Linked DNA regions of Neurospora crassa OR74A. The protein of the gene in region 1 purifies or fractionates together with the protein of each later gene. This does not show direct contact. Links are inferred from orthologs where the notes say so. Each region holds a gene or a part of one and is shown on either strand. Other genes may lie near its edges.

Region 1 (5,815 bases):
CCCGCAAATGTCCGAGGATGGCGCGAAGCCGTAAGAGAGCTGTTGGCTCCGGTGGTCTTTCGCCTGGCTCGACTTCTTCTAGCTGTTTTACCTCCTTCTTCGCTTCCTCCACCAGTGCGCCCAGGTCACCCCAAATCTCGTCGTGATAGCCGGTTAACACGCGAGACCACTGATCAATCCATGTCTCCCAGCCCTCAGTCACGTCGGCCGTACCCAACAAATCTCTCGTACTTGGCGCCGTCGAAACACTGTCGAACCCCAGCAGGGAAAGTGGGATGAAGTTGAGCGCATGATCCCACGCAATAGGTGATGAGCTGCTGCCGGGATCGTCGTTCCCGAATAAAGCCTTGCGCAAGCTGGCCATGTCATCGGGCAATATTGTATTCTCCTCCGGCCCTGCGAGCTCTGCATCCAGATTCAGATCACCCCGGAGCAATGCTACAACTTCCTGGCCATCGCGCGCTTCCTGTTCGGCGACAGTGGATGCCGGAAAAGAATGAGTCCATTGGTTGTTTGTTGCTGGTACTGTCGAACTCGGAACATTGCCTCTCATATTCCACGCCCCTTCCAATACACCTGCTCCTTCGGGCGCCGTAAGAGGCTCGGTGGTGTCAAGAAAGGCGGCGAAAGAAGCCTCTTGCATCGCAACATGTCCCTGAATCTGGGCTGACCTGATGGTCTCGCCGCCATGAGAGGCAGAATGAAGCGGGGCAGAACTCTCACCCACGCGCTCGAGATTTCCCGTGGCCCTTGCCACTGTTGCCGCCGCTCGTGAGCCTTCTCCCTTCTCGCCGTTGCCTAGTCCCGAAACTGCGCCGGTCATGTTACCTTTGGAGAACAAAGCTGAAGGTAGTGATGTTGCTGACTTGGCGATGCGGGTAAGCAGATCGTCCCCGCCCCCGGTCTGCCCATTGTGGCCTATATCACCAGCACCAACTGATTCCTCCGACGTTCCAACATCCTTTCCTTTACCCTTGGTCTTTTCAGGCATTGGCACCATCTTCAACCTCACAATGAGATTGGTGGGTGCATATAAATCTAGTGATGGGCTGAGATCGATGTGTAAGCGGGAGAGTTGAGTTACAAGAGCCGTACCGATGAGATGATAATAAGAAGGAAGAGATGGAGAGACATCAAGGACCGGCAACGTGCTGCCCAACATCAATAGGTGGGGGCCCTATGACCTGTCAAAAATCCAAGAAGACGAAGGATGCCGTGGCCAGGTCCGAGCAATGATGCGGACCGGGGGAGGGTGGATATCATGTAACTTATATAGTCCCGGCTCCCCGGCAGATCCGCAACGTCAGACCTAGACCCCGAAGTTTCAAGGCGGGCCAGTACACCACACGTGCTTTTTTGGGGTGATTCATGCAGCATGTGCGTTTCGACATGGCCGTGAGGCTACAGCAGCGTCTGGGGAGTTTAGACTCCTCACCTTGAATGACATCTATCATGTAACAGGGATATCAGACCTGCCAAACTTTTCCGTCCAGTCGCGAACTAGACAGTCCTGGCATGTCTGATGGAATATGTACCTGTGAACAAAAGACGGAAGCTGAAAGAGCTGCAGTTGCACCCGTGGGGGCCGTTCGATTGGATGGCAAGGCTCAAGAGATATTGAACAAAGCGACGGGACCACACGCCAACACATGCCATGGGCACAATAAAGCCATGATGCCATCATGGGATCCAGAGACGGACCTCAGCGGTGTTAAGAGGCCGGGTCATGACCATACTTTGCTATGAGCTATTGAAGACGTATGCGGACAACTTAAAGTGCGCTCTTGATCCATAGCATACGTCCAAGTTCAATAGCTAGTCAGCTGGCACAAAGCGAGTGTGCCTTTCTGGTGTAGATGCCCGTATACCATCACCCAATACCTAGCGCAGAGGTTGATACTAGGTAGGTAGGTATATACCTACGAGCCTACCTCGTAGTTGTACATGGCAGATGCCATCTCGTCGCCGCCCGGGATAAATGGACCCCGCAATTGCTCACTGGTGGAAGCTGCGCGGCCCTGGGTATTGGACGAGATCTTCCATTCACCGAGCAGGCCTGAACGGGCGGGCATGGAGGGCACGGGCTGACGGGCCCCCATGCCCCTGTGTTGAGGAGGGAGGGGCCAACCTTACCACCATACGTACCTACTTAGCATGTAGTAAAGGGTACCTCATCGCCCGCCCATCCACCCCGTGCCCACTCCGTACCTCGCTAACTAACTAGCTCGTCATTCCCTTCAATCGCCAAAGCTTAACTCCCTGGCAGGATGAGGGCGTCCTTGCTTGCTCCTTCCCACATCTCGGCCCATCTATCTCCATCTCCATCCACCATCCGTCTTTTGCTCAATCTTGCAAAGGCAACAACCTAACCCTTCACCAACAACACTTTACGCCATATCCGCATACAGCACTCGGCTTGACGTACCCCGCATCTTCACTTGGCTTTGCGCACCTGCAGCACGAACAGGAAACCGGCCCACGTCCAGAGGTAGTCAGCTCCCAGGAAGCAACGACAGATTATCGCTCGGTCGGCACCCATAGTCTTCAGTTGTCCAGGTCTCGCCGCTGCGGCAAAAAACACTCTCTCAGTTGGGTTCAGGTTCGCACCTCAATCGCTTTATCGCTGCACTACTAGGTACTTAGAGGTAGTTTTCCGTCTGGCCGTTGAGCCTCACACCCTCCATCCCGGGCCCCATCAGGTCCTCCTCCGCCCAGCTACCTAGGTACCTCGCTGCGCTACCGGCGTACCTCCGTCTGCTTCCCTTTCGTCGCCCTACGTACCTTACTACCACTCGGGTCGGGCTCTGCTTCCACCACACCCGACCGCCCACCAGCCAGGTACATTACATACCTTACCTCAACACCTACCAAGTTTGCTTATTGCTTTCCTCCCGTCTTTCCCTACCCGACCGACCCTTACCTTCATCCATACATATGCTCCCTGCAACAACATCCATAGCGCACCCACGTGTTTTAACCCGGTCTCTGTTGGGCACCTCTCTCCAGATCTCCAACTCCCGTCTCTCCGCCATCCCTTGATTTCGCGCCTCGAGCTCGTGAAATCTCTTCTTGTCCATCATCGCCCTTGGGAACGTCGTCCCTTGCCGCCGTTGCCCGTCTGTCCCTCCGTCCGCTCGTCGTCCTTGTCCCATATCTGGTAGAGGTGGGGATCTCATCGCCCACGGCCCCGGGAATCGTTGAAGATGGTGGAAACAGATACCAACTCTCCGACATGGAAGTTTACCCAGTAAGTCGAACTCCTCCTTGACCCTCCGTCATGTTTTCCATCCCCGTCGACTTCTGCCTCACGAGCGTCCGTCTCTGTGCGATTGCGCTCGTGCCTGTCCCTGTGCCCGTACCCGCGCCCGCGGCTGGATCCGATCTCCGCTCCACGTTGACCTACGCCTTTCTCCGTCAACGCTCTTCTTTATACGAGACGTCGCCTCGTTTTCCTGTGTTTGCCCCACTTCATCGTACTGAGATCTTGTCATAGATGCTTCGGCGACAAGGGAGATGTTGAGGACATCACCGAAGGTACGACCCACCCCTCCTCCCACGACGGGTCCCTCGACCAGGAGCCCGTCAATGCCCCTCCTCACGTCATCAATACCCTCAGCCATACTGACCCGCCTTTACCAGCCGATATCATCTCCACGGTAGAATTTGACCACACCGGAAACTACTTGGCGACTGGTGATAAGGGTGGACGAGTCGTGCTATTTGAACGGAACGAGACGGTTAGTGGAGTTGCGGCAAACCCCCCCTCTCCCCTTTCCCTTCCGGCTTATTTGCTGGCCCGCTTCTTGTCTATGTCTTGCTTACCTGTGGACAGAAAAAAACCTGCGAATACAAGTTTCATACCGAATTTCAGTCCCACGAGCCCGAGTTCGACTACCTCAAGTCCCTTGAAATTGAGGAAAAGATCAATAAAATCAAGTGGTGCAGGAGACAAAATGCCTCCCACTACCTCCTCTCGACAAACGATAAGACGATCAAGCTATGGAAAGTGTTCGAGAAGTCGCTTAAGGTTGTCGCCGAGAACAACCTATCCCATGATTTGACGCCTGCAAGCGTAGCCGGCGGTGGAGGCGCACCTCGTGCCTTACCTCATACTCAGTTTCGCAGTCCCGCCGATCTCAAGCTACCCAGGCTTACCCATCACGACACAGTCGTTGCCGCCGTGCCTCGGAGAACATATGCCAATGCTCATGCGTACCACATCAACAGCATTTCCGTCAACAGCGATGGCGAGACCTTCATCAGCAGTGATGATTTGCGGATCAACCTATGGAATCTGAATATCCAAGACCAGAGCTTCAACATTGTGGACATCAAGCCGGCGAACATGGAGGAATTGACAGAGGTCATTACAGCCGCAGAGTTCCACCCTCTGAGCTGCAACTGGTTCATGTATGCCAGTTCTAAGGGCACAATCAAGCTGGCAGATATGCGCGAAAGGGCGTTGTGCGACCAGCACGCAAAGAGTACGTTGGATTTCGGTGAACTGTGTTTGAAGTGTTTTTTTTTTTTTTTTTTTTTTTTTTTTTTTATCTCTATTCTCCGCTGATCATTGCTTACAATTCGTTTTTTTCTTCCCTGTATAGTGTTCGAACAAGAAGAAGACCCATCGTCCCGATCTTTCTTCTCTGAAATCATATCTTCCATCTCCGACGTTCGATTCTCCCATGACGGCCGGTATATCCTTTCTCGCGACTACTTGACGGTCAAGATTTGGGATGTCAACATGGAGCGGCAGCCAGTCAAGACGATTCCAATTCATGAACACCTCAGGCCGAGACTCTGCGACACATACGAAAATGACAGCATTTTTGACAAATTCGAGGTTGTATTCTCTGGAGACGCCAAGAACGTAATGACAGGAAGCTACAACAACAACTTCATGATCTACCCATCGGATCCCGACAAGGAGGTGGAGGTCGTCCTGCAAGCGGATAAGTCGGCGTTCAAGGCCAAGAAAGTTGGGGTGCCGACACCCATTAATTCGTCGACAAGTCCCACAGCTAACGGTGGTAAGAAGGGAAATTCACGGGCAGGAAGCCCGGCAGCGGCAGGCCAGGGCCAAAGGATGCGTAAAGAGACAGACGCCGATCAAATCGACTTCAACAAGAAGATTCTCCATATGAGCTGGCATCCGTTCGAGGACAGCATCGCCATCGCAGCAACCAACAACGTAAGTTCTTGCCCCGCTAGTTCTTAACCGCATCCTCATCTGGGCCCTATTGATAGCTAACCATCTTTCCCACAGCTATTTGTCTTTTCCGCGTTGTAGGCAGAATGATGAAGGCGGGGGGATGGATGTGATTGGGATTCCCTTCACATAACTGCTGAGGCTATTATGCCTCTCGTTCCACAGTCTGACTGGGAGCATTCGCGGTTCTGGTTTGTTCGTGCTCGATTTGTCGAGGCCTGGGGCATGGTGGCGTCTTTAGCAAGAGCGAGACGGATAGCCTGATTGAAAGATGAGGACACATATAGGTCAGGGATGCATTGAGAGGCAGGTTTGCGGGGAAATTTCCAGTCATGAAGTGCTACGCCCGGTTTGGCACATCGACTTTTCAAGATCCCATGAACAAGGCAGGGCGGGCGTGAGGAACGAAGCGGAAGTGAAACAAATGGCCCAGGGAGCCGCCAGCCTTGGACGATAAGGGGAGAGTAACTCGTATGTTAAATAACCATTATGTCCTTTTCGTTCCGTCCGCAGGGCAGAGCGCCGAGTGTCATGTCACGATGGGATGGATGTAAGCGCTTGGTTCGGCATGGAATACCCACCAGTTCCCAGATGTTCCGCGCAGAA
Region 2 (4,863 bases), on another chromosome or scaffold:
TCGCCGGCGGTGGATATAAGTAGTCTGACCAGCAGTGCGCTGTTTGAAAAAGAGAAGGAGAAGGAACCACAGCCGGATGAAGGAATATTATCTCCAAACGGCATCCTCCCAAGCTCAGTAGACCTGGGAAGGAGAAGACGCGCCTCATCCTTCTCTACTGCAGCCCCTGCAATGACAATTCCTTCGGTCCAAGAACAATCAACTCTAAACCTCCCAGCCGCGGACGAGACCGATGAAAACGCCGCGGTCGAGGCTCAGATTCAGAAGGAGCTGAGTAATAGTATTACAACACGGCCCAGGGGTGGAAAGGGGAGGCAATCAATGAGCCGTTCCGTACCCACGATCCCAACAGAAAATTACGAGCACGAGGACGCACAACTCTCGACGAACTCAGCCTCGGTGGATCTTTACGACTTTGCTAGTTGTGCGTCTCCGGATAGCGCAGCACCCCAGCTAGAAGCGACTACCGGCGATGTTCCTGTTAATAAGAAGGCACCCAAAGGTTCAAGAAGAGCGTCCTCAGCTGCTTCGACCGAGACAACAGCAACAGCATCCGCAAAGCCAAGATCTTCCCGAAAAAGGGCTTCGATGCTGGTGCCGAAGAAAAGCTTGTGGGCTGAAGAGTTAGCGCAGGAGGAAGAGGATGAGGAAGATGTCGGCAATGACAGTGGCGGGTCCTTGTCCAAGGGGAGGGCCTCGAGGAGGAGAAGCATGATGCTTTGAATGGACCTTGGCAGAGCTGGGGAGCCTGAGATGGAATTGTTGTATAGTTGTTTCACACGGCACAGCGTAAGGCGTTTGGTGGTTTACAGGATATGGAGCTGAATCACACGTGGAACTGGACAAGAGCTCCCCCCATGACTGTACTTAACAAGCAAGCTAGCATGTTTGGATAGCTCAAACATGGAGAGGACATGACGCAAATGTATTTTATGACCTGTATAAGAATATTCCCCCTGATCAAGCATCAACAATGCGTTGCTGCGCGACCGTTAGCGCTGACAGCTGGCAGCGGATGCCACGACACTGGACGTTTCTTCCGTTCTGTTCGGCAGTCCTCTGCCCCACCTTTCAGTCCATGGTGGGGTGCCGTCCACTGGCGACGAAAGCGGCAGGGAGCTTGGTCCAGGTCGATTCCATCAACTTTTCGGAGGGGGTCCAGCATCCCACCTTGACCTACCTGAGGTTGACGCTGAAGCTGCCTGCCCGATCATTGAACTGGAGAACAGCAAACAACAACGGCGGCCATTCCTTCTCCAGATTTTTGCCAACCATCCTGCTTCCCCCCCGCGCATTCTGAAGCATCACCATCTGAAGACATAGTCTATACCTACCGTACAGCTTTCTTCTTTTCAGTCACCACTAAAGCAACCCATATAAATCAGGCACCATGCAGGCACCGGTCCTGGTAATGAGTATGTTCCAGCGCTCGAAGCTACCTCTTACCCCTTTTCGCACTGATATTGGGGATATCCTCACTTGTCAGCCGGCAGTAACCATGCAGCATACTGACTGACCTTACCTCCTACCCTTACAGACACCAACAGTGGTGAGAGGCAGACTGGCCGCAAGGCTCAGATGTCCAACATCGCCGCCGCCAAAACGTACAGTTCCCAGGCCCTTCCCCCCCTAATAGCGGATAAGACCGCCTTTCACCCCGCCATGGACCTTGACTGACCGCCCCCCCTCGGCTCGTAGTGTCGCTGATATCATCCGATCCTGCCTCGGCCCCAAGGCCATGCTCAAGATGCTTCTCGATCCCATGGGCGGTATCGTCCTCACCAACGACGGCCATGCTATTCTCCGCGAGATCGAAGTGTCGCACCCCGCAGCCAAGAGCATGATCGAGCTCAGCCGGACACAAGACGAAGAAGTTGGTGACGGTACCACAACAGTCATCATTCTTGGTAGGGAAATCTTTGGCTACAGCTGCGCCGCATACCGTTCACTGACAGGTGGTATTCACAAACAGCCGGCGAGATCCTCGCGCAATCCCTCCCCCAGCTCGAGCGCAACATCCACCCCGTCGTCATCATCTCGGCCTTCAAGCGCGCCCTCAAGGACGCCCTGCAGATCATCGAAGACATCTCGCTCCCGATCGACATCAACGATGATCAGGCCATGTACAAGCTCATCTCGTCCTCGATCGGCACCAAGTACGTTTCCCGATGGTCGGAACTCATGTGCGGGCTAGCGCTCAAGGCCGTGCGCACCGTGACGTGGGAGCAGGGTAATGGCAAGAAGGAGGTCGACATCAAGAGGTATGCGCGCGTGGAGAAGGTGCCGGGCGGCGAGATTGAGGACAGCAGGGTATTGGATGGCGTTATGCTCAACAAGGACATCACACACCCCAAGATGCGCCGCAGGATCGAGAACCCGCGCATCATCCTGCTCGACTGCCCGCTCGAGTACAAGAAGGGCGAGTCGCAGACCAACATTGAGATCACAAAGGAGGAGGACTGGAACCGCATTCTGGAGATTGAGGAGGAGCAGGTCAAGCAGATGTGCGAGCATATCCTTGCCTTTAACCCCGACCTTGTTATCACAGAGAAGGGTGTCTCTGGTGAGTTCGACTCCATAAATGGGAAGCGCGTATCACGTCGGTGGCAGGAAAGCTAACGATGATTTCACTCACAGATCTCGCACAACACTATCTCATGAAGGCCAACGTTACCGCGCTCAGACGTGTGCGCAAGACCGACAACAACAGAATTGCCAGGGCGACCGGCGCTACTATCGTCAACCGAGTAGAGGATCTCCAGGAATCCGACGTTGGCACTAACTGCGGCCTGTTTGAGGTCGAGAAGATTGGCGACGAGTACTTCACCTTCCTCACAAAGTGCAAGGACCCCAAGGCCTGCACCGTCCTTCTCCGCGGTCCCTCCAAGGACGTTCTCAACGAGATCGAGCGCAACCTGCAAGATGCCATGGGCGTGGCGCGCAACGTCATGTTCCACCCCAGGCTATCGCCCGGTGGTGGTGCGACCGAGATGGCCGTGTCCGTCAGGTTAACACAGCTCGCGAAGAGCATCGAGGGTGTCCAACAATGGCCGTACAAGGCCGTCGCCGAGGCCCTCGAGGTCATTCCCCGTACACTTGTCCAGAACGCCGGCAAGAGCCCCGTCCGTGTGCTCACCGATCTCCGCGCGAAGCATGCCGAGGGCAAGAATTCGTGGGGTATCAACGGCGATACTGGTGCCATTGTGGATATGAAGGATTACGGAGTCTGGGAGCCCGAGGCCATCAAGGTGCAGAGCATGAAGACTGCTATCGAGGTATGTTTGGACTTTTTTTGTCTTTTTTCTTGACGTTCAGTTTCGATGCTCTCTAACTGTCTACTAACCATCTATACAAACAGGCTGCCTGCCTCCTATTGAGAGTTGACGATATCTGCAGTGCCAGAAAGGCACAGCCAGGTGTCGGTGTCAGCTCTGGCGGCGGTGATGAGTAAATGTTATGAACGGTGCGGGTGGGTAGCCCAGGGTCTACTGAGTTATAGTCAGTCCGGCAAAAGGTGGTATGATATCCCGTTAATGATTCTTTGGTGGTCCACGCATAGCACCCATTGCATGAGCACCCCTTTATGTATATGCTAGATGGACCTTGGCATGGTAGATAAAAGGGGTTCTGAAAGGCCTGGTCGAGAGGTCTAATCCTTGTTCCGTAACCCCGAGCGTGATGCTGTCTATGCTTTCCCCCGTCGCTGATGGTTGCTCTACTCGCTTGGGTAAAATCAATACTGTCAACATCCCCCTTTAGTCGTCTTCAACGATAAGTAGCCCAGACTCCGCATTTCCGGGTACTACGGCCCCAGGAGCAGCCGCCGCCGTGGCCGAAGTAGACTTGTCCGCTTCCTTTGCGGTACTCTCCCCAGCGGTGTCGTTGCTAGTGGCTCCAGCTCCGGCTGCACGCTCCTTTGCGCCTCCCTCGTCCCCAGTCTTTGCAGTCTCTTTCTTCTCAGCCCCGTTTGCTGTCGTCACACTCCCTCCTTGACTTGCACTACCATTTCCACCTCCACCTCCACCTCCACCTTTGCCCCCCTTCCCTTTATTCTTCTTCTTGTCCCTCTTCTCCCGATTCCTCCTTGTCTTTTCCTCATCCGCCCTCTCCCTCTCCCTCTTCTTGGCTTCAAACTCCTCTCTCTCCTTCTCCTTCGCAACCTCCTCATCCATGATCCTCAGCCGTTCGTACTCCCTCCTCCGGGCAGCTTTATATACATGAAACTCGCCCGATCCCGCACCGGCGGAAGAACCCTGAACGTTGGTGACGATTTCCGGAGGGGGAGGTAGTCGAGAGGAGCCAGAAGTGGTGGAGGAGGGGAGCGGTGGGATGATGATTTCTCGGTCGGGTTTGGCGAAGAGTTGTTGTAGGTGGGAGGCTTGAAGGGAGGTGGGAGAGGAGGCGCGGAGACGCTTGGTGGGGCGGGAGGAGAGGCGGGAGGTGGAGGTTGGGATCGAGGAGGGGTCGTCGGCTGACATTTTTGCGCCTTTGTTTTGTGTTTTCTGTTGACAGTGGTCTGCGGTGGCGGCTGCGGCTGCGGCTGCGGTTGTGATGATGGTGGTGGTGGTGGTGGCTGTCGGGTGTTGCCTAGGTTGAGACGCGGCGGGTTGTTCTGGTTCGTGACGTTCTGAGGAGCGAGGCGCGCGCACGCCGTTGAGTTTGTTGCTCTCTTTTGTGGTGCGATTAAGCGCTGATTTGGTGATGACGGTGGGATCACTAAAGTTTGCTGTTGCAAATGCTGGAGGGCGTCGAGGCGGAGATGTGAAACTGGAGTTGAATTTCGGCCGGAGAATGAAGTCGCGACAACGGACTGGTCGATCGCAGCGATGGGGTTTGGTTCATTCCAGATCGACCAAATGCGAC

What was found. Proteins that work in one complex are often made in the same cells at the same time.
Region 2: the proteins of rgb-1 (region 1) and NCU01843 purify together in Saccharomyces cerevisiae (affinity purification with mass spectrometry, with the first as the bait; 3 studies listed by BioGRID). This does not show direct contact. The link is inferred for Neurospora crassa OR74A from reciprocal best matches to the Saccharomyces cerevisiae genes CDC55 and CCT3.

Annotation. Positions count from the first base shown.
Region 1 is NC_026501.1:3,523,048-3,528,862, reverse strand, and holds the start of rgb-1 (protein phosphatase PP2A regulatory subunit B), read left to right. Parts: upstream 1-2,278; 5' UTR 2,279-3,203; coding exon 3,204-3,247; intron 3,248-3,493; coding exon 3,494-3,534; intron 3,535-3,639; coding exon 3,640-3,737; intron 3,738-3,832; coding exon 3,833-4,484; intron 4,485-4,604; coding exon 4,605-5,191; intron 5,192-5,266; coding exon 5,267-5,290; 3' UTR 5,291-5,815. Other genes in the region: NCU09376 (hypothetical protein), read right to left, coding at 1-1,162.
Region 2 is NC_026502.1:2,190,344-2,195,206, reverse strand, and holds the start of NCU01843 (T-complex protein 1 subunit gamma), read left to right. Parts: upstream 1-1,155; 5' UTR 1,156-1,390; coding exon 1,391-1,415; intron 1,416-1,537; coding exon 1,538-1,604; intron 1,605-1,698; coding exon 1,699-1,907; intron 1,908-1,972; coding exon 1,973-2,563; intron 2,564-2,637; coding exon 2,638-3,275; intron 3,276-3,279; exon of another isoform or gene 3,280-3,358; coding exon 3,359-3,451; 3' UTR 3,452-3,755; coding exon of another isoform or gene 3,756-4,478; 3' UTR 4,479-4,863. Other genes in the region: NCU01842 (hypothetical protein), read left to right, coding at 1-723; NCU01844 (hypothetical protein), read right to left, coding at 3,756-4,478. UniProt on the Saccharomyces cerevisiae protein: Molecular chaperone; assists the folding of proteins upon ATP hydrolysis. Known to play a role, in vitro, in the folding of actin and tubulin. In yeast may play a role in mitotic spindle formation.